Linked DNA regions of Rattus norvegicus. The protein of the gene in region 1 purifies or fractionates together with the protein of each later gene. This does not show direct contact. Links are inferred from orthologs where the notes say so. Each region holds a gene or a part of one and is shown on either strand. Other genes may lie near its edges.

The links. Proteins that work in one complex are often made in the same cells at the same time.
Region 2: the proteins of Srpk2 (region 1) and Acin1 purify together in Homo sapiens (affinity purification with mass spectrometry; 3 studies listed by BioGRID and IntAct, with this or other methods). This does not show direct contact. The link is inferred for Rattus norvegicus from reciprocal best matches to the Homo sapiens genes SRPK2 and ACIN1.
Region 3: the proteins of Srpk2 (region 1) and Luc7l3 purify together in Homo sapiens (affinity purification with mass spectrometry; 3 studies listed by BioGRID and IntAct, with this or other methods). This does not show direct contact. The link is inferred for Rattus norvegicus from reciprocal best matches to the Homo sapiens genes SRPK2 and LUC7L3.
Region 4: the proteins of Srpk2 (region 1) and Gtpbp4 purify together in Homo sapiens (affinity purification with mass spectrometry; 3 studies listed by BioGRID and IntAct, with this or other methods). This does not show direct contact. The link is inferred for Rattus norvegicus from reciprocal best matches to the Homo sapiens genes SRPK2 and GTPBP4.
Region 5: the proteins of Srpk2 (region 1) and Zfp638 purify together in Homo sapiens (affinity purification with mass spectrometry; 3 studies listed by BioGRID and IntAct, with this or other methods). This does not show direct contact. The link is inferred for Rattus norvegicus from reciprocal best matches to the Homo sapiens genes SRPK2 and ZNF638.

The regions. Positions count from the first base shown.
Region 1 is NC_086022.1:12,527,243-12,530,742, reverse strand, and holds part of Srpk2 (SRSF protein kinase 2), read right to left. Parts: coding exon 3,473-3,500; intron 2,585-3,472; coding exon 2,117-2,584; intron 1-2,116. UniProt on the Homo sapiens protein: Serine/arginine-rich protein-specific kinase which specifically phosphorylates its substrates at serine residues located in regions rich in arginine/serine dipeptides, known as RS domains and is involved in the phosphorylation of SR splicing factors and the regulation of splicing.
Region 2 is NC_086033.1:32,114,205-32,118,398, forward strand, and holds the start of Acin1 (apoptotic chromatin condensation inducer in the nucleus), read right to left. Parts: upstream 2,801-4,194; 5' UTR 2,764-2,800; coding exon 2,452-2,763; intron 2,411-2,451; coding exon of another isoform or gene 2,016-2,410; intron 2,005-2,015; exon of another isoform or gene 1,866-2,004; intron 1,046-1,865; coding exon 980-1,045; intron 1-979. Other genes in the region: C15h14orf119 (uncharacterized protein C14orf119 homolog), read left to right, coding at 2,016-2,410.
Region 3 is NC_086028.1:79,770,630-79,774,828, forward strand, and holds the start of Luc7l3 (luc7-like protein 3), read right to left. Parts: upstream 2,801-4,199; 5' UTR 2,634-2,800; coding exon 2,535-2,633; intron 1-2,534. UniProt on the Homo sapiens protein: Binds cAMP regulatory element DNA sequence. May play a role in RNA splicing.
Region 4 is NC_086035.1:65,997,883-66,002,182, forward strand, and holds the start of Gtpbp4 (GTP-binding protein 4), read left to right. Parts: upstream 1-1,500; 5' UTR 1,501-1,541; coding exon 1,542-1,589; intron 1,590-4,273; coding exon 4,274-4,300. UniProt on the Homo sapiens protein: Involved in the biogenesis of the 60S ribosomal subunit. Acts as a TP53 repressor, preventing TP53 stabilization and cell cycle arrest.
Region 5 is NC_086022.1:117,958,819-117,962,850, reverse strand, and holds the start of Zfp638 (zinc finger protein 638), read right to left. Parts: upstream 2,801-4,032; 5' UTR 2,700-2,800; intron 1-2,699.

The DNA.
Region 1 (3,500 bases):
GCTTGGGGAATGAAGCAGCAATTCACAGAAGCCAGTGGAAATCACGGGCAGGTGCAGATCCGTCAACAGGACGAGTTCAGCAAGACAAGAACAAGGAAGAACAGAGGAGGTAACGCACACGGAAGATGCCTAACTTCCCAGAGGGACAGCAGAGCAAGCAGCAATGGCAAAAGAAAGGCAGGGCTACTGGAGGAGCCGGCAGGGCCCAAGGACAAGTTGCTGTCCGCTTACTTCCGCCACGACACAGCAGGCAGAGCAACCACGGCCTCCTGACAATCACCAAAAGATCGCCTCTGTCACAGTGCCCAAGCCTTCTTTAATGAAAACCATGAGTTTTGAATTCAATAATCTTTCTGCACTGGAATTTTAGATTTTGCCTAAGTTAGAATACCTCCTCACACACTACGATTATAAATTCTCTCTTCTTTTTTATGAGGATTTCTTTCTGAGGGCCAGAGAGACGGCTCTGTGGTTGAGAGTATTGGCTGCTCTTCCAGAGGACTGGGTTCAGTTCCCAGCACCCACACGGCAGCTCCAACTGTAACTCCAGTTTCAGGGCACAACACCCTCACACAGACACACATGCACGCCAACACCGAAGCACATAAAATTGTTCTAGAAAGAATTTTTTTCTTTTCAGGTTTTAACCTGTATCTACCTATCCTGGCTCCCCAGAAAGAATGAATGATGATGTGGGAGACGGAATAAATCGAGAGATCCCTGAGCTCTCGGCAAGACTATGCTGAGCAGTCTGTCCACAGAGCCCGGGCCGCAGGCACTGCTGGTGTGACAGGGCAGTAATGAATGTGCGTGTGAGGAGGTGTTGAACAACCGAGGCACACGTACCGAACTTCTCACACACAGTTCAGTATGTAGCATTTGCTTCAATGGCCATTTGGTGTGGCCACTGCTTTCCTTCAATAGAAAAAACAAAAGCAAACAAAAATGGGGCATGAAGAGGTTAAGAAACTGAAGTCCCATGGTTATTCTAAGTTTAAGCTGGAATTCAGTTTTCTATATTTAAAACTACTGTTCTAAGTTATCACATGAAAAATAACAAGGGGTTGGGGATTTAGCTCAGTGGTAGAGCGCTTGCCTAGCAAGCGCAAGGCCCTGGGTTCGGTCCCAAGCTCCAAAAAAAAAAAAAATCAAGTTAAGAAAAATAAGGAAAAGCTATGGTAAAAATTGCTTTGTGTGAAAATCAGCTGCAACAGAAACAATAAATGCAGAGAAGGTACAAGTCTCTGCCACCTTTGCCCAGAAATGAGCCTATATTTTCTTCTGGTCAGACCAAGGGTGAGGTGTAAAGCAGCCACCGCCAAGGGAGCAACACCACGCCTAAGACAATCCAGCACAGCCAGCAGACAGAGGCAGCAACTAAAGAGGCTACAGAACGGGTCAGGCTGGCTCAATTGTTTGTCATGTACTATGGGCATAGCAAAGTCACTGAACTTTTCCCCTAAGGGTCGGAATAAAAATCAATTGTGATATTCAATTTTCCTTCATGGCACTTGCACAAACTATGTGTTTGAAGATAGGACCGCATGGAGACCAGAATGTAGAACCAATGTATAATCTGTTATTGTGCTTTCTCAGAAGCAGAGTTATAGAGCCAGGCAATGGTGGTGCACACCTTTAATACCAGCACTCAGGAGGCAGAGGCAGGCAGATCTCTGAGTTTGAGGCCAATCTGGTCTACAGAGAGAGTTCCATTAACAGCCAGGGCTACACAGAGAAAACAGGTCTCAAAAAAACAAACAAAAACTAACCAAACCAACAACAAAACAAAACAAACAGAAAGAAAGCATGGTTGTATAAACAAGGGCAACTATCAAATAAAACACAAGGCGTCTCAGTATGGATGAAAACAGCCAGGGATCCCTTGAAAACCCAAAAACGACTGCTCTCAGCTGCAAGAGGGTGTATCTAGAAAGCTGTGAGGTTGGTAATGGTGGAAGGCCATTTTACCTATCTGATGTCATTTAATAATATGCAGTAAATGAAGAAAGGCCAGGGATAGGACCTCGTGGCTCTCGCCTAGTCAACTCCCTTCACAGTACGTCACAGGTGTAACCCTACCCAGAGCCAGCAGACAGAGATGCAAAATGGCACTTACTTTTTGGCAAGTCTCCAGTACTGGAGGCTGAAACTGTCCTGCTTCTGTCACGGGATGGACTGCTTTCCTCTGGCTCGGTGAGTGGTGATCCCTCTGACAGCACAGAGTCAGAGGCCACAGGTTCTAAGGGCCCAGAAAACAGCGGTGTGGGAAACTCTGGACTCTTAGGCTGTCCGTTTGGCAATTCACCATTGAATTGTTCATAGGAGCTGCTATACGTATAATCACTCTCCGCATTTGGTTCATCCAGGTTATACTCCTCGGGGTTTGCACAGTCATCTTCCTCATCCTCTTCATCCTCCAGCTGCTGCTCCAGTAAAAACAGGCCATTTTCAATATGGCCGTTGGCCTTAGGGGACTCCATCCACGTAGGGTCTATGTTCTCAAGTTCCTGTTCAACATCATCTTCATCCTTCTCAGTGTTTTCCTTCTCTGTGTCTTCTTTCTCTTCCTGGTCTTCAACTTCACCTTAAAGAAGATGGGGTTAAGACTGGAGTCGACTCTCCATGCACAGTAGCACTATAGGCCTCACACAGGAGAGCCTCTTCTTTAACTCAGATCCGCCTGCCTCTGCCTCTGCATCCCGAGCTCTGGGCTCCTTGATCCTGAGCATGCACCACCACACCCGGCTAGGAGGCAACTCAGACAGATCCCAGAACACGCCTTTTGCTTGTCAAGGCAAGGCGGCATTCTAAATCTTGTTTCTGTTTATTCAGTAATGAGTCCTCTAGCCAGGGACAGGTTAGCTCTGGGGAAATTACAAGTAAAGCTGGATTTTCACTTTAGTCCCTTCTTTTTCAAAGAAGCTTACTGTACCTGATCTTTAAGGTGCTCACTTTTCAACTGTGTGTGAACACATTCATGAGCCCTCACAGCTACAGTTACAAGAGGCTGTGAGCACCATGACACTGGAGGAACTGGGAGCCAAGCTCCTCTGCACTACTGATCCATTCTCCAGCCATTAACCCTCTCTTCTGTCGCCTTAGAAGATCTGTGCTCCCCAGCTCCGAAAAAAAGAAAAAAGAGAGAAAAAAAAAAAAAAAAAAAGAAGATCTATGCTGCATTAAAGTTAGGCAAAGGCCTAATTACAGAATAAGGAAAGGGTCATCATTAACACTAGGGTGCTTCTCAGACATCCTCCGCCCCTTCTCACACCCCTGCTTTGTGACGTAACATGCGCTTAGCAGAGTTTCACAAATGAACTATGCTGCCCCCATCATCCCCAAGGAGAGGTAGAGAAAGCCGTCCTTAGTGACTGAGGTGGCAGCTCAGATACTCTCAGACGCTCTCAGAAATGACCCCGTGTGAAGCTCCCGCACGCGACCAGCCCTCCCTCCTGCTCTGAGTTGGACTAACCATTGTCCTTTGCTGTCTCTTCCTCAGT
Region 2 (4,194 bases), on another chromosome or scaffold:
AAAACGTTTATGCAGGAACTCTTAGAACAAAGTTTTTTCCCCTAAGACACCCCAGCAGAGCAGTTATAAAACCATGAACTAAGTCAAACTACTTTTCCTATTTCGGGTAAAGAAACAAAGGTCTCTAAGTGTTAAGTACCTTGTCCTAAGTCATCAAGGTTTTAAGGATGTTTAAGAGTTAGTCCTAGAAATAAGGGTTTATTAATACAGTATCAAATTCTTTAAAGTAAATTTGTACCAATAAAAGAGTTCTTGATGAAAAAGTATTTTGTTACATCTATATTCAAAGATCTATATTCAAAGATAACTTTCCCCTAAGCTGATGGCAAGTGACTTCAGATTCTTGTGGCACACTTAATCAGAGTGATACTTTTTTTTTTTTTTTGGTTCTTTTTTTCGGAGCTGGGGACCGAACCCAGGGCCTTGCGCTTCCTAGGCAAGCGCTCTACCACTGAGCTAAATCCCCAACCCCCAGAGTGATACTTTTGACACACTCCAAGAATTCAAAATTCATTCAGTGCTCCTTTGATTTTATTTATATATATATATTTTTTTCTTTTCTTTTTTTTAAAACTCCAGGTCTTTATGCAAAATTGAGGGTGATTAGAATTCAACTGTCTGAGGGCTGGAGAGATAGCTCAATGGTTAAGACACTGGCTGCGTTTATAGAGGACCCAGGTTCGATTCAGCACCCACATGGTGGCTCACAGCTGTCTGTAACTCCAGTTGCAGAGGATCTGACATTCTCTCCTGGCCTCTGTGGGCACCCGTTGGAGGCAAATCACCCACACACATAAAATAAAAACAGACCTTAAAAAAACAAAACAAAAACAAACAAAACAAAAACCCAGTAACTGAGATCACTTGCAATAAAAAAACAAGAAAATTCTGTTTCTGATAAACATGGAAGACACCAAGTCTTCCCATTTACCATTTTCTCCAAATAGCCCATTCTATCTAAACAAACCTTTTTTCTTACCTGAGAATTTGGCTGGAATGCAGCATGGGGTGTTGAGTGTTTTTGTAAATTTTCTAGCATTAGAGCCTGGTATAAAGAAGAGCAAAAATCAGAAACCAGGAGGGGGAACAAAAAAGCACTCCAGATCTCTACCTCTCCCACAGCCTTTTCACTAAATTACTTAAATATACATTTATACTACATTCCTTTCACAGAGCCTAAAAGCGCTTTATTAATATTGTTCTCATTCATCTTCATAAGTCGCTTAAAGGTAGCCATGGTTACTGCTCCCAAGTATACGGATGTAAAATACAGGCACACAAAGAATCAGTGACCTGGCTATGTCACAAAAAAATCAGCAAAAGTGGCAGAATCAGAACTAGAACCCCTGTTATTGTCTGTAATTTTGACTAGGAGCCACTTTTAAATCTGGTAATACAGGCAAAAAAAATTACAAGTACTCAAACAAGTTTCAAATTACATGAAACCAACACTAGGCTGCTAATTTAGATTTGACTATTATTTGATTTTCAGAACTAAAACTACTTAAATGAACCTGCACAATTTCCATCAGTGTTGACACCCAGACAAATCAAATGTACTAAAAACTTCACCGAGAAACTAACCACAGACCTTGTAACCTGTGGTCTGACCTAATCCACACCCACCCACAAACTGTCAGCTTCGGGATAAGCAACGGTCTGTCAACTCAAAGCCTGAACTGACCGAGTCCCTATCAGTATTATGAGCCACGTACCCTAATGAACTCAAATTACACTAGTCCTTCTCACCTTCCTTCCCTCCATTTACACCAAACCAATACACAGTATGTATACCTCACGACAACAAGCTCATTCTCACTGCTCAAACCGATACAAAATCCCCAGCCTAAAGTAATCTGTCTCACCTCTCGCACCAATATTCACCAAATTCTTATCCAGACTGTTTCTCGATTCCCTATAAATTAGACACCCGTCTCTGACAAGTCCTTCTATCAAGGTTTTCCTTCATCTAAGGTTTTAATCTAGTCAAGCGGACATTTTTTACCCTATCCAAAATGTACTACTGCAGACACAGACACCAACCCCATCCGCCCAACTGTATCCCTAACTCGGACACAGCCCTGCTCGCCCCCTTAAGGCCAGCCACACCGGTGGTTGTAGAGGGATTTAACTCCTTCTGCAGCGCATGCGCCGAAAACACAGACACAAACAAGGAGGGGGTGGGGGAAGAAGGAAGGAGCTTAAGACACTCCGGGAGAGTAGCGCGCACCCTCCCATTTTGGGCTCGCGCTGCTGCCGTTAAGGCGGGAACCGGCGTTATCTCTATTCCAGCGCCAGCCACACCAACCACCGTGCGCGTGGATCTGCAGGCTCGCGCTGGCGGCCTGAGAGAGCTCGCGCCGAGCCCGGACACTGCGCCTGCGCCGCAGCGGAGACTCGTCTCTACCAGGTCCGCTCCCCTCCGACACCTCGGCAACGCTGACTTCTCACCCCTTTGAGCCGCTTGACCAGGGCACTCTTCTGCCCGCTCTTGGCTAGGCCTCGCTGCTCCAGTGCGGCCTTCAGGTCGGTCACCCGCAGAGCCTGAAGAGGCTTCCCGTCCAGAGTCACCTCCTCCAGCTCCGCCATCTTGCGTGAGGTACTCGGGTCCGTCCCGACGGCTTCGGGCATCTTCGGTAATTTCCGCCAACGCCCTTCGAACGTACCGAACTGGCCCCGCCCACTGCCATAGTCTACCCCTCTATTACCGCTCAGAATTCCCCGGGTTCCTCCGGAACTGTTCGGTCGTTTCCGTCTCCACATCGGTACCAATCGGCTTTTTCCATCTGCCTAGCGGCCGGCTCCTCCCATTTTACTTTCAGGTTCGTTTGTTTTCGTCTTGCCGAGGCTTTGAATCGAATCTATTCGGAAGCCCTCGAATCTGGCATACCCATAATCGGAGATATTCGGCTATCTCCGGACTTGAGGGCTGAGGCGCTGGGGCACTTGGGTACTTGGGGCTGGTTCCGGACCGGAAGTGCGTGGGTTACTGGGGCTGGCTGTACTTAGGGTTTTCCGGAAACATGGAAGAGACTCGGGGAATTGGAGCAGGAGCTGAAGCACTCTTGTGATCTCTGGGCGCCCTCCAAGGGGAAAAGGGAGGTAAGAGGAAAAGAAATTTCTCCTAGGCCGGATAAGACTTGGTGTCTGAATGTTTTCTTTTGGGGAACCCTTCTGCTTCCTGGCGAAATCTCTGTGGTCCCCATCCTCTATATCCCAGCCACTCGGTCTAAGAAATGCTTTGTCCTGTGTGGCTAAGGAATAAGAGACCTGCTGCTTCCAAACGTGGGAAAAAGTAGCATTGTGTCTTTGATCTCAGACAGCAAATTTATTAATGACATCGAATTTAAGTTTACAGTGGAAGCCATGTAAATGTAAAAAAGCCTGGGTAAATAATTCCCTTTCTCTGAAAAAGAGAAGTTTTAGGAGAAACTTCTCCCTGTAGGGCCACTTTGAAACTGGCAGTCACCCTGAACCGGGACTTAGAACTGACGTTTAGGTATTCTTTTCTTCATGGATACAAATTTTCCAACTCGGAGAAGTAAGAACAGGTAGAAATTTAGGTCCTAGAGAGTTGAAGGTTTTCCTTGTTGGAGATACAAACTGTAGGACTAAAGTATTTTGGAATAAGTTGGCTGACACTTGCATCCATGATGCAAAATGAGTGGTACTTGTAGGCATAAAGCTTTAAGGAAAACTGTTGAGAGACACGTGTGCATCCGTATCACACTTTTTAGGTTACCTAAGTCAAGAAAGAAGCAAAAGGACTTTCTTCAGAACTTTAATAAAGTGGCTTCTGATTTTCTAACCCTTACCTTACCTTGAGACAAGAACTTTACCTAGCCTGCTCCAAAATTTACTAGTGTGGTAGAGAATTTAATAAGGGGGTCATAGAACATAAACATTTTTTACAGGTTTCAGAGGTGGTTCATACACTGTACAGTAGGTTCTTGTCTCATGACCACCCCCTACGTCCCACACACACACACAGTGGGGAACTGTGGGAAAATCAGCATTTAGGTTGGGACCAGTTGCTTGTACTTTGAACAGAAGGTTCTTGCCTCTTGTCTCCACTCCCAACACACAGTGCATGTAACTGTGGAAAAATCAACATTTAGGTTGGGACTAGTCGCTTGTACCAAAATTTAAAAAGCTGTGCACATTAATTTTAGAGAGAACAAGCAAGACATGTGT
Region 3 (4,199 bases), on another chromosome or scaffold:
GGAATACCACCATGCAAGCTTCCATTTTAACTGCAAAATAGCTACAGATCTTCCAATAGTTGGAATTTAATCTCCTTGTTTGAGGCAGGGATAGCTTTAGGCTAGTTTGGAACTCTGTGCTAAAATTACAGGCTTGGTTTCCAGTGATCTTTTTTGATATTTTTTCATCCTTATCAAAGAAGTCAAAGAAAAATGGTCTGCCCAATTATCAGTTATATGGCTTTTCTCTGTCTAATTCAAGACTGGCAGAGAAAAAATTTGAATACAGGCCAGAAAGATGGTTCTGTACTGGGTAAAGGCACCTGCTGCCAAGTTGAGGACCCATGGCCAACAAACGCCCCCATCTCCTTACACCCACCAAATAATTTTAGGAGGAAAATTCTCCAACTGGAATAAAATTGCTAAACTATATTACCGTATTAGACAGTGAATGCTGGATTTGCCTATCTCTTGGAGGTTTTATTAAAAACCAAAAAGGGCAGCATCTAACTGACTTGAAGAAAGTAACTGAAAGAAAATTAAAGCCTCGATTGTTATTTTCAAAACTTATCCACATACATTATTATGTGCCATTCTTCCCAAGATGTGTTCAAAACTATGAGGTGTACGGAATGAAATCACATTTATCTTTAATCCAAAACACAAATGTCCTATAGGGAAAAATTACCCCCCCCCACCTTTGTTGTTTATTTCTGAGACAGTTTCAAGATAATAGTTCTCTGGCTGGCCTGAAATTCACCAAGATCCACCTGCCTCTGCCTCCTCGGTGCTGGGATAATTGATAGGTGTGTACCACCCAGCACAGCTAATTTTTCCTAACCTTTAAAAAAGTTTAGATTGACTAATCCCTGGCTCAGAAGACTGAGGCAAGGGATCTCTTGAGTTTGAGGCCAGCCTTGACCTAGAGCAAGTTCCAGGACACCAGAGCTAAACATAGAGACTCTCATTAGGAAAAGGAAAAAACAAAACAAAACAAAACAAAACAAAACAAAAAACAAAAAAAAAAAAAACCCAACGCCAGTCAGGGGTGGTCCAAACCTTTAATTCTAACAGAGGCAGGAGGATCTCATGGCCAACCTCATCTTCAGAGTGAGTTCCAGGACAGCCAGGGGAAACACGGTGAAACCCTGTTTTGAAAAACCAAACCCTTGGGCTGGAGAGATGGCTCAGTGGTTAGGAGCACCTCTTCCAGAGGTCCTGAGTTCAAATCCCAGCAACCACATAGTGGCTCACAACCATCTGTAATAAAATCTGATGCCCTCTTCTAGTGTGTCTGAAGACAGCTACAGTGTACCTATTTATAATAAGTAAATCTTTAAAAAAGCAAAACAAAACCAGAATAAAAAAAAATACACCCAAAGCCCCCCCAAGCCCAACAACAACAAAAAACTTCAATTGAAAGTGGGGGTGAAGAGAGGAAGAAGAGAAAACAATGCATAATTTACTTTCTTGAAAAGCCCATCTGTGACTAGTAATCCCAGCACTCTGGAAGCTGATGGAGGATTTCAAGTTCGAAAACCACCTGACCTACAAAGTAAAGCACTGCCTCAAAAAAAAAAAAACAAAAAACAAAAAACAAAAAAAAAACAAAGCTTTTGTTGAGCCACTTTTTCATATTTTATTAGCAAATGACTTAAAACTGCGGTTTGATTTTAATTGCAAGGTAAAATCAAGTATACCTATTCTCCAGTTCAGACCTAAAACAATGTGCTCCGTGTACAAAACTAGATAAAAAGTACTTGAAATACAGTGTAGTATATGCACGAAGCCAGCTTCACAGAACAGTGCAACCTGAACAGTGCTAAAAAATTAGCTTTGCCGACTACATGAGACCTCGAGTGAGCTGCTCCTGCCTCACCTGTGACCCTGGAGTTATATTTAACCCTAAGAGAGTAAAAGGATTGAGTGAGTTTATGTGAAAACAAAAAACCTCGACAACCGCCTATCTAAGGGACTGACTACTGCCACCAAACAGGCGTCCAACTGCCATCAAACCGCATTAGCAAACACTGTTTATGATAAACTGTACCAAGTCACCTGTTTCAAATGTCTACCTACCCAAAGGACCGTCGAAATGGAACCAACCACTCCTAAATAATGCAGTACTACGATTTTTTCCCCACTAATACTGGTCAGAAGTCAAGCATATTTAAATATGATGGCTGCATCAATATAACGGAAGACTTTGCCTTTCTTTTTCATGCGGTTAAAAACACGGAGCTCTGGTGTAATAAAACGAGCCCTTCCTTCCTTTTCCCGCGTTTCCCGGCCTCACCAAGGTGCTTCTTCTGCCCCGCCAAGAGAAATCCCGGACTTCCTCCATAGAACAACAAATCACCCTACCCCCGAGGTTCGCGCGGAATCTTCCCTCCCGGGCCACTCTCCCGCCTCCTTCAGCCGTCAGGTGCTTTAGTCTCCGCGGCCCGGACCCCAAATCGCGCCGCGACCCACCCAGGCCAGCCTGGGCCCGCGCCCTCCCTTCCCTTCCCCTCCCCCAGACGCTTGGGCACAGGCCCAAGGCCCACGGGACTTACGCTCTCGTGGTCCCACCGCACGTTGCTGCGCTTCTCATCCGGGGCCAGGTTTCGGTCCCGGCCCATTAACTCATCCAACAACTGCGCGGCCGAAATCATGGTGCTTCCTCCGGGCGGCTGCTCACACCAGCCCTAGCACCCACCAACGAAAACCACCAGCCACTCGGCCGCCGAACCAACCCCTCGGCCCACTCTCAAGCCGAAAAGCCTCTTCCAAAGAGGAGCCGATAAGACAAAATGGCCGCCGCCCGGGCACCTTCCCAGCATGCCGTGCGCCCGCGGAGACACGCCTAGGCCCGGGCGGCGATGGCGGCACGGCTTCGGCGGCGAGGGGGCGGGACCTCCGGCCTAGGCCGGGGGCAAGCCCGGGCCAGACACTGACTCCGCCCCGCCGTGCCTTCCCTGATGAACCCTGACATTCTTACCCGCCGCGGTGTCAGCCTTTTTTACTTGGAGAAGCAGCAGTCAAGCTCTGGAACCTTTGGCTCTGCTCCGAAAAGGAGAAAACGTCCCTTTGTCCACGTGGTGCCCAGGGTGCCATCTTCCTGTGAGGGAAACAAGAGCAAGCTGCGTTCGTGCTCAGACTCCATTTTCCTAGTCCTTGTAGTTACTGCCTCCTCTACCAGGCCTTATCTCTGTCTGCACCCCCTCCCCCTCTCCCACCCAGTTCGATGCTGGGGATTGAACCGAGGACCTTAACGCTTAACACTCTACTAGTGAGCTAAATCCTCAACTCTTCTACCTGGTTTTGTCTGGATTTTCTCGATTTTTAGAGAGGTAAATCAAGGAATAGGCTATATGCGATTGGAGGAATTATGTTGTGATAGTTCCAATCCAGGAATTTATTTTCCTTCGTTTTGTGTCGAGTGTTACTGTGTGTTCAGGGACACGTAGAGGAGACCAGAGGTCACCTTCTAGAGTTCTATAGTCTCTGGAACTATCCACTTTTTGTTTGTTTCGAGATAGGGTTTCTCTGTAGCCTTAGCTAGCCTGGAACTCACCAGGCTGGCCTCAAACTCACAGAGACTCCCCTGTCTCAGCCTTTTGAGTGCTGGGATTAAAGGCGCACAGTGCCACCGCTCCTCAATCTAAACTTTTGAAAGCGTAGGGAAACTTAGCTGGGCTTGGTGTTACAGTCCTAGCACTGGGCAGGCAGAGTCAGGTGGATTTTGGTGAATTGAAGAGATCCACCTGCTTCTGCCTCTTGAGTTCTAGGATTAAAGATTGAAAGTCTCAGTCCTACATGATGGTGCACCTCTTTATCCCAACACTTGAGAGGTACAGGCAGGTGGATATCTGCGAGTTTGAGACCAGCCTGGTCAACAAAACAAGTTTCAGGACAGTCATGACTGTTATACAGAAAAACCCTGTCTCAAAAAGAAAAAGAAAGGAGAAGGGATGTCTCACTGGAACATGAGCTCTCTGTCAGCCTGAGAGCCCCAAGAATCCTTTTATTTCTGCTACCTAGCACTGCAATTATATCATTTACATTTTTTTTCCTTTTTTTTTTTTTCGGAGCTGGGGACCGAACCCAGGGCCTTGAGCTTGCTAGGCAAGCGCTCTACCACTGAGCTAAATCCCCAACCCCAGCACTGCAATTATAAACCACTGTTTTACATGTATGTGCTGGATATTAAACTCTGGTCTTCATGCTGAGTGGTGAAC
Region 4 (4,300 bases), on another chromosome or scaffold:
ATCCCTAGATTCTGCTCACCCACTGTGTGGGACCACATGCAGCTCTTTTGCCTTATCCCATAATTTTCCTTCTCTGCTCCTGTTCCAGGGATTTATCATCAGTGGGACCACTCTTTATGCCTCACCTCTGCCCAAGGCCTCAGCTACTAACTTTGTTTCAAGGTCTTTAGTTCTGGTCAATCTTGCTCTTGGCTCTAGGTCCGCCTTGTTCTGAACTCTGGTGGGAATCAGAGTGTGAGGCTGTCCTTCCCAACAACACAGAGGGATGCATTTAGTTAGAAAAGCAGAAAATGCTCTTTATTTTCAGATATACCTAATTTACATTTCTGGAGTCATGTGGGGTGGAGATTTCACTTCTGATTGAAATGTCTGATTGGAATTGAGGAAGAAACCAGGCTGAAAGAAACTTGTATCATAGTAGTCCACATGGGAGCTGTGAAGCCACCACTCAGAAAGGAGACTCTGAAGAGGAAGAACTTTGAGGAGTATCTAGTTAGGGAGAGACAGCAGGAAATTAGCAAAGAAGACTGGATTCTAGACATCATGTACCAAAATGATGGATGTCACAGAAATAGGGAGAAGGGTTTGAAGGGGACAGCAATACCCGAAAAAGGGTCATTTAAGTTACAAGATAATCAGGAGGCAAGAGTAGCTGGATGGAGGCTGGCAGGATTCCCAAGGATCCAAAACAAAAAAACAAACAAACAACCCCCCCCCCAAAAAAAACAACAAAAAAACGGTGGCTTAATTAAAATGATAGGGAAAACAAATATGGGAAAGTTGGCTTCAATCCATGTAATTCTGTACGGATCAGACTCTGTCTATGTCCTGGTCCTGGGTTCAGGGCAGCTGTGCGGGGCAGTTTTTTTCACTGGCCCATGCCAGATGAAGGCTGAGCGCCTTCAAACCACCGCGAGGCTGCAAGGTCAGGAGAGGGAGCTCGAGCCACCTGGAAGGATGCAGTCTTTTCTATCGTCAGAAGTCCCTGTCAACATTATTTACTCCAATAAATAACTTTCCACAGTGCCAGGCGACAGCATTTGTTGCTCAGGGGACACACAGTGATGCAAGAGCCCCGCTCTATGTCTTCCTGCATGTCACTTGCCCTGACCACGGCGTCCCCAGAGGTGGCGAACAGCCTTTGGAGCCCTGAGGCTTGCTTGGGTGAGGGGAGTGTTTCCTGAGACCCCGCCAAGGTGGCCAGCCTGGAGTATCTCCTTCACCCCGCAAGGTTATTCCCCACCCTCCACCTCTCAAACCCAGCCGATCTCCACAGCAGCTCATCCGGTCTCCTTATCTCTCGGCCGCGGACTTCACGGCCGAGTGGGGGCGCTGTCGAGGAGCACGTCCGGGCGGACGCGCGGGCCACGCCTCGCAGACATTCAGGAAATGATGCAATGCTTGAGCCCTGCAGCTAAAGTTCAGTCAAGCCGAATGGCGGAAGTCCCGCCCAACCCCGCCGGCGGAAGTCCCGCCCGCTCTTGACGGCGGAAGTCCGGTCCTCCGCTTCTCCAGGTTTCCTCGTGCGTTCCACCGCCGGCATGGCGCATTACAACTTCAAGAAGATTACGGTGGTGCCGTCAGCCAAGGTAGGGGTGATCGAGGTCGTTCCCGCCTATCTCCCTTCCCCTGACAAGTCTCCAGGGAGGGTTTAGTTCTGTATCCCCGAGACCGGGGGAGGGAGGACGCCTTGGATCCACTCGGCCCTCAGACCCGAGCTCCACTTGTTAGGCTTTGTCCTCGGCACTCTCGGAGATCAGTCACACTCTCTGGAACCAAACCCCTCTCCCTCTGTCCATGGGTGCCCTGAATCCTAGAATCCCTCCAAGACCTCAGAACTCTTCCAGGACCTATTATTCTTCTGTGCCCTGCCGACGTGACAAAGTGTCTGGGTGCTGGCCGCAGTAAGGAGCAAGGCAGGAAGCCTGGAGTGGTTAGTGGTGAGCGTCGTGAGACCCCTGCTTTAGGATTCTAGATTCAACGTAGTATCCTCCCTTTTAAGTAAAACTTGATTCGTGCTGTCACGGTCTAAAAAATTCTAGGTAGTTGTCATTTGTCGTTGGATTTAGAAAATGCAATTGGTTTTAAGCACGCAAGGCCAAATTTATGTGACGTAGCAAGATACGTTCCTTCCAAATGTCGAGTATTATTAGTTAGGCTAAAGAACCTAAAAAGATACACGTGTTTCTTTGGCAAGCCATGGGCATTGAATCGCAGGATCAACTAGAGGAACCAATGTCACTGTCATTAAATTTACAGCAGTGTGGGTATTTTCGATATCTTCCTTTATGAAAGAGCTTGTTCTGAACTTTGTTAATATAATTGACCTAGTAAAGAATTGAACGCAGCATGTGTCTCTGTTGCCCTGAAGGAGTTCTGCTGCTAGAAAACAGATTAAGTTAGCATATGTATTAATAGGCGATGGGAATCCTTCGGTGGTTGGAAATAACTCAAGTCTAAAGAGTATGGGGTATTTTTGTAAAAGTGTGTGCTAGGTTCTGTGTATAGACACTCAAAAGAATAGTCTACGTCTTTAAGAATCATTTTCTGAAGGAATAACAAAATGCATTTAGACCCACTGCAGTATCATGGAGAACTGTGTGAAATACATTTGGCCCTCTGTGTTTGAGTTCAAATCCAGATTCAACCAACCGCAGACCAAGAACACTATTTGAAAACTGCATCCACATTTAATGTGCACAGACTTTATTTTCCCTTTTTTGTTGTTTATCTGTTTGTTTTCTTTCTTTTTGGAGATGGTCTTACTAAGCTGACATGGCTGGCCTGGAACTTAAAGAAATATGCCTGCTTCTGCTTCAGAGTGTTAAGATTAAAGGCATGAGCCTCCATGCACTAACATTCCCTAAATATATGACATATGTATGTGGATTCTTCTATACACAAGCACTGTACCACTTTATAATGAATTCAGATATCTGTTTGAGAGCTATTGTGGTGAGGGCGTGTGGGGAGAAACTCTGACTGTAAACTCCTGTAAGTATCAGGGATTTGGGATAGCATAAGAATGTAGGGAGAACAGGGCAGTGTTGATGTACGCCTTTAATCCTAGTGCTCAAGAGGCAAAGGCAGGAGATCTCTGGGTTTGGGGCTAACCTGGTGTACACTGAGCAAGATAAGTTGTAGGACAGCCAAGGCTACAGGCAGAGAAACCCTGTTCAGAAAAACAAAACAAACAAACAAAAACATGCTGATAAAAGGGAGAGTCTGGAGAAACTTTTCAGTAGGCAACTTTTACTGTCTCCCTAAAGATGTGAGGACCATGGTAAGGAACAGAGGGGAGGAACAGAGGCCTGAGTGTTCATGCTCTTCATAATCCCTGGCAGACTATTGCGATTACCTGCTTGCCTTTGGTTTTGCTTCACGGGATCTTGGCGCCTAGTTCACTGCTTTGTCCACCATTGTTGTTCATTCTATCCTTTATTACAGGACACGAGCAATATTGTTGAGGTAATGGAAGTGATCAAGGGAAAGGAGAACAGTTTTGTATGGTTGGGTAAAAGTGAATAGGGACAAATAGCTCAAATCCTCAGTCTCCTCAACATACATAGGGAATTTTAGATGGTGGGTTTTAGATTTTTCATTTTATAACCCCTTAAAATCACAACTACAATGTCCTTGAAATTGAAGAACTGTCTCTTTTTCTTCTGATTTATTCTTGAGTTTTCTTAGGAGTTTGCAAGTTAAAATAGTATTAAAAAAACATGGGTTAAAATATATTTCAGCAACCATTAGCAAGTCCTTTCCTCTACATTGGGCAGATTTATAGGAATGACTAGGGAGGGGCCTCCTCCATCAGTTGGGAGTATTCACAGGGTTTTCAGCCACTCCAAACGAGGGTCCTGGGGGTGGCTGGACACGTCGAGCATGCCCTCATTATCAGGGATGGATGGGGCTGGGTGTTTGTAAGGTGTGGCCTGGTTGGTCATGGTTGGTGTAGGGGCTGAGTGAGGGCATAGTTAAAGCAGGGCTTTGGCACTAAAGGACACCACCAGCACCGGCCCTTTCAGTCAGGCATTCCTGAGGAGTGTGGCGAGTCTCTCAACTGTCTTAGTGTTGGTGGTGGGTAGCAAGTTTTCATAAGGGCCAGAAACTGTAAAGATGACCCAAGTTGTATATAAAACAATTGATTTTTGAAAAAATAAGTTTTGTAGTTTAAACCATATAGTACTGGACTAATGTTTTATGGTTATAAGCAAATGGCTAGAAAGTACATGTGTTTGAATTTCATCTTAATTATTTTCTTTAATCATAGGACTTTATTGACCTGACATTATCCAAG
Region 5 (4,032 bases), about 110 Mb from region 1:
TTAGGACTAGAACATGAACAGAGTTTGATTTCAAAAGAATGAGAAATAATCAAAATATTTACATCCCAAGTAATCACTATGCTCATACAAGCACCTTGAAGCTATTGCTATGTTCCCTACCCTGTCAATCCAAAACTTATTATTCTTGATTCTCATAGAAACAATATGGCTATGAGTTTTAATTCTACACATCACCTTCTCTCACAATTCTTTTCACTATTCTTTTCTGATTGTCTATATATTTTCCTTCCACTTTTATTTTCAACCACAAACAATGGAACAAATTTAGAATAATAAAAACAATAAAAGATTGGATATAAATGAGGGCTTATTAACTTTAGTCACAGCAAATGTTTTATTTGCTAATCTACTAACATCAACATTTCAATATTCATTAGTCCACTGTATTACTAGGTGCCTATTTTAGAAGCACTGTTTCTTAGTTTACTATAACATTTCATTAAGAAACTGGATACTTATTCAAACTGTCATCAATGTCAAGGCACAGTGAAATAAGCATGAGAACCCACCCAGGCTCTTGCACCTGTGGGCTGAGTTCATACATTTAATACTGGAGCATCCAATACATACACCAGTCACTCAGACACGAAGACTGACGTAATTATTTAGTTGCTACAAAGCAGGGGTCATGTCTGTAATCCTAGCACTTGGAGTTATCATCCTACTTCTGCCTCCAAATGCAAGGGCACCCTGATCTAATCAACACATTGAGTTCTAGGCTAATCTGCTACCTAGCAAGATTTTGTAAATAATCAATAAACTATTACACTAAATTCTGGTTAAATGCAATAAATTTATAGATGCAAGACATTTTCAAGTTTGATAGTTTTCAATTCTGTTAATCTAAATTCCATCTTTTAGTTAAAAGGAAGTATCCATAGGCTACAATTTTCTATTAGAAGATGTTACCTAGTCAAGTTAAATTTTGAAACAAGTAAAACTTGAAATAATTAAGAAACATCTATCTGCTGAAGGATAGGAGTATTCCATACTGGATCTCAGTATACTAAAAGAAAGTTCAAACAAGTAGCGAAGTTTACAAATAACATAAAATTTCACAAAGACTAAAACAACTGAAGTCTCACACATAATAATAGTAAGAGAACAATGTATTTAAATCCATAACTTCTGGTCCCAAAACCTATTCTCTGTCCATTAGACTCATCATTTTTATTACATAAAAATCAAAATTCAGAGATCTTAAGACATTCTTACAACATCCAGAAAATGATGACTGTGAGAACTTTTTAGAACTAGAATTTATGGTTAAAGCACACTCCATCACAACAAATGCAAAAAACTGCAATGTATCCAATGTACAAGGTAATATATGTCATATAAATACATTTGAAAACCAGTTAATCAAAACAAATGAAGGACATTTTTGTGATTTCTTTCAACTGTTTTGTCTTTACCCATTGGTTCCAACACAATGACAAGGCGGGGAATAGCCTAGGATATTTTAGTATATTACATTTTGGATTCCACAAATATGAAGGTACACACTACAGAATATGGAAATATAAAAGTCAAATTTTGTAAAGCAGAATGCAGCATAAGCCCATTATGGTTAAGTGTATAATCAATAACATTTTGAAAATATGTAATAAAAAAAATGTAATAAACAAACTTATTTTCCTGTGTTAACGTCCTTATATTAATATTTCTTGTAATCTTTTTCCAGTCTGTCATTTTAAATTTATAAACATAAGCAGTAAACGCAACTCTTTTGAAAAACAAGTTAACCCTTCATACACAAAATGACAAGAGGGAGAATTTTGTGTATGAACAATTTCAAAACTGGGTAGGAAAAAGATGACTTCACATGGTCGGGTGGATGCTGGTGAAGAAGCTTTTCTTCAGAACTTTTCACATTGAGTGTTCCTTCTAGAATTCCCAAACTGCCAAGGGTAATTTTAATATTAAATAGCTCGAGGCTACGATCATTGTCAAGCTCAAAGATTTTGTAATACTGAGACTCCCTCATAGGCAATTACTTCAAACAACAAAGGACGTCTGAAACATCCTCGGGGATGAGAGTCAGTGGTACAGACCTCCCTGCTCTTTAACAAAACAGGCCCAAGTTAGGAACCACACCAACAGAAGCAAATATCCCCACATCGGTGTTCTCGACTCCTCTAAGAATGTGGAAGTGTCACCGCCATTTTCGACGACATCCCAGGACCAACAATCTCGACTTCGGTGCTCACTGGGGCGCTTAGCCCACAACACCCCGCACACCCCACTCCCACCCCCTGCAGGGACGCTCTTCCAGCCCGGCTAAGGGCGCACGCGGCCCACGGGTCTCCGAAAGGCGCTCGGGCACGCGGCAGCCTCCCCGCTAGCTGTCAGGCCTGAGAGGCAGACCCGCGGCGCTGAGGAAGGGGCGGCAGGGATTCCCGGAGGACGCCACCCGCTCCTCCGCAAGCGGCGGCATTAGGCGGCTGCGCCGAGCGGCACTGCGGCGCAACGGCGCGGTCAGCGAGTGACAAGGGGAACAGGCCACGGCCGAGGCCCACCCGGGGTCCCTCAGCTCCGCCCGCCCCACCGCCGCCATCTTGTACGCAGCGGCTGCGACACATACAATAGTCGACCGCGACCTCACAGGGACGGCTCGGGGCCTGCGCTCAGGGCCTCCGCCTTCCAGTCCCCGGCTCCCCGCAAGGCAGCGGCCCTACCTATGCCTACCGACTAACAGCTGGATCCCATCCGTGCCCCACACAGTTTAGCACTCGGCCTCCAGTCACAGCGACGAAGCAGCTACCGCCTCCATGGGGCTACACGCATGCGCATCTTCGCCTAAAGCCCTCGTCCGCTCACCGCGCCTGCGTGCCTCAGGCTCAGCGTTCTCTGAAGACTCTGTCAGGGGCAAGGCCGCACTCTTCCAGAAGGGGGCGATCGCCAGCTATGGCTGGCCCCACACCTGCAGTTGTCTGGGTAGCATCACTCGGGTTTTAGAACCTGCAAACTATGCTGGTCTTGTTTGTCCTCCTCTCTTTCATGAGGCCTTCTCTGATTACTATTTCCTCAGTATCACAAAGTTATATTCACATAGCACTTATTTGCAATATGGTACTCGCGCCTTTACTGCTCACCCCCTCCACACACACTTTTTCAAGAAAAGTCTGGAACACCCTATGTAGCTCTAGGCTGGTTTTGAACTCACATAGCTCCTACCTGCTTCTGCCTTTCAACTGCTGGAATTATAGGCATAATTCTTATCTCCCACCTCTTAAATGGGAAATTAGGCTGCGCTGTGTTGGCATAGGCAAGAGGCAGGCAGGTATCTGTGAAAGAAGCCAGACTGGTCTAGAGAGGATATTCCAGGAAAACCAAAGCTACACAGAGAATCCCTGTTTCAAAAAACAAAAAGATAGATAGATAGATAGACAGACAGACAGACAGATAGAATAATAAAATGGGAAAATAGAATGGAATACAAGTTTAAGTCAAAGGACTAATATTGAAAATCCTTTTGTCATTTCACTATACAAGGAGGGAAAAAAACCTGGGTGGTAAACATCTATAATCCTGATTAATTTTACCCATGAAAAACAATGGGTTAAGACAATTTTAAAACTGTTTTCCTCATTGTTCTATCTTCTCAAGTAGACTCAGTTATGCCAATATAAACAGATCAATCAAAATTAAAGGACCATCTCCTTTGATGAAATTCTTAGGAGGCCGGTGGTATGGGGCTTCCGAGGGGAAAGATAAGCTATTGCACCTGGTTCCTCCCACTACCAAGAAAGAAGCACAATGTTTAGTGGGTCTATTTGGATTCTGGAATTAACTACAATCCAGAAAGGAGTTGTCATGCTGCAGCTGTCCACTTCTTGGTGGTGCTGGCATAATGTGTAGAACTGCCAGTAAACCAGGTCCGAGTCTTCTCTCCCTCAGTCAACAGATCATAGGGAACACTCTTTCTTTTTTTTTTTTTTTTTTTTTTTTGGTTCTTTTTTTCGGAGCTGGGGACCGAACCCAGGGCCTTGCGCTTCCTAGGCAAGCGCT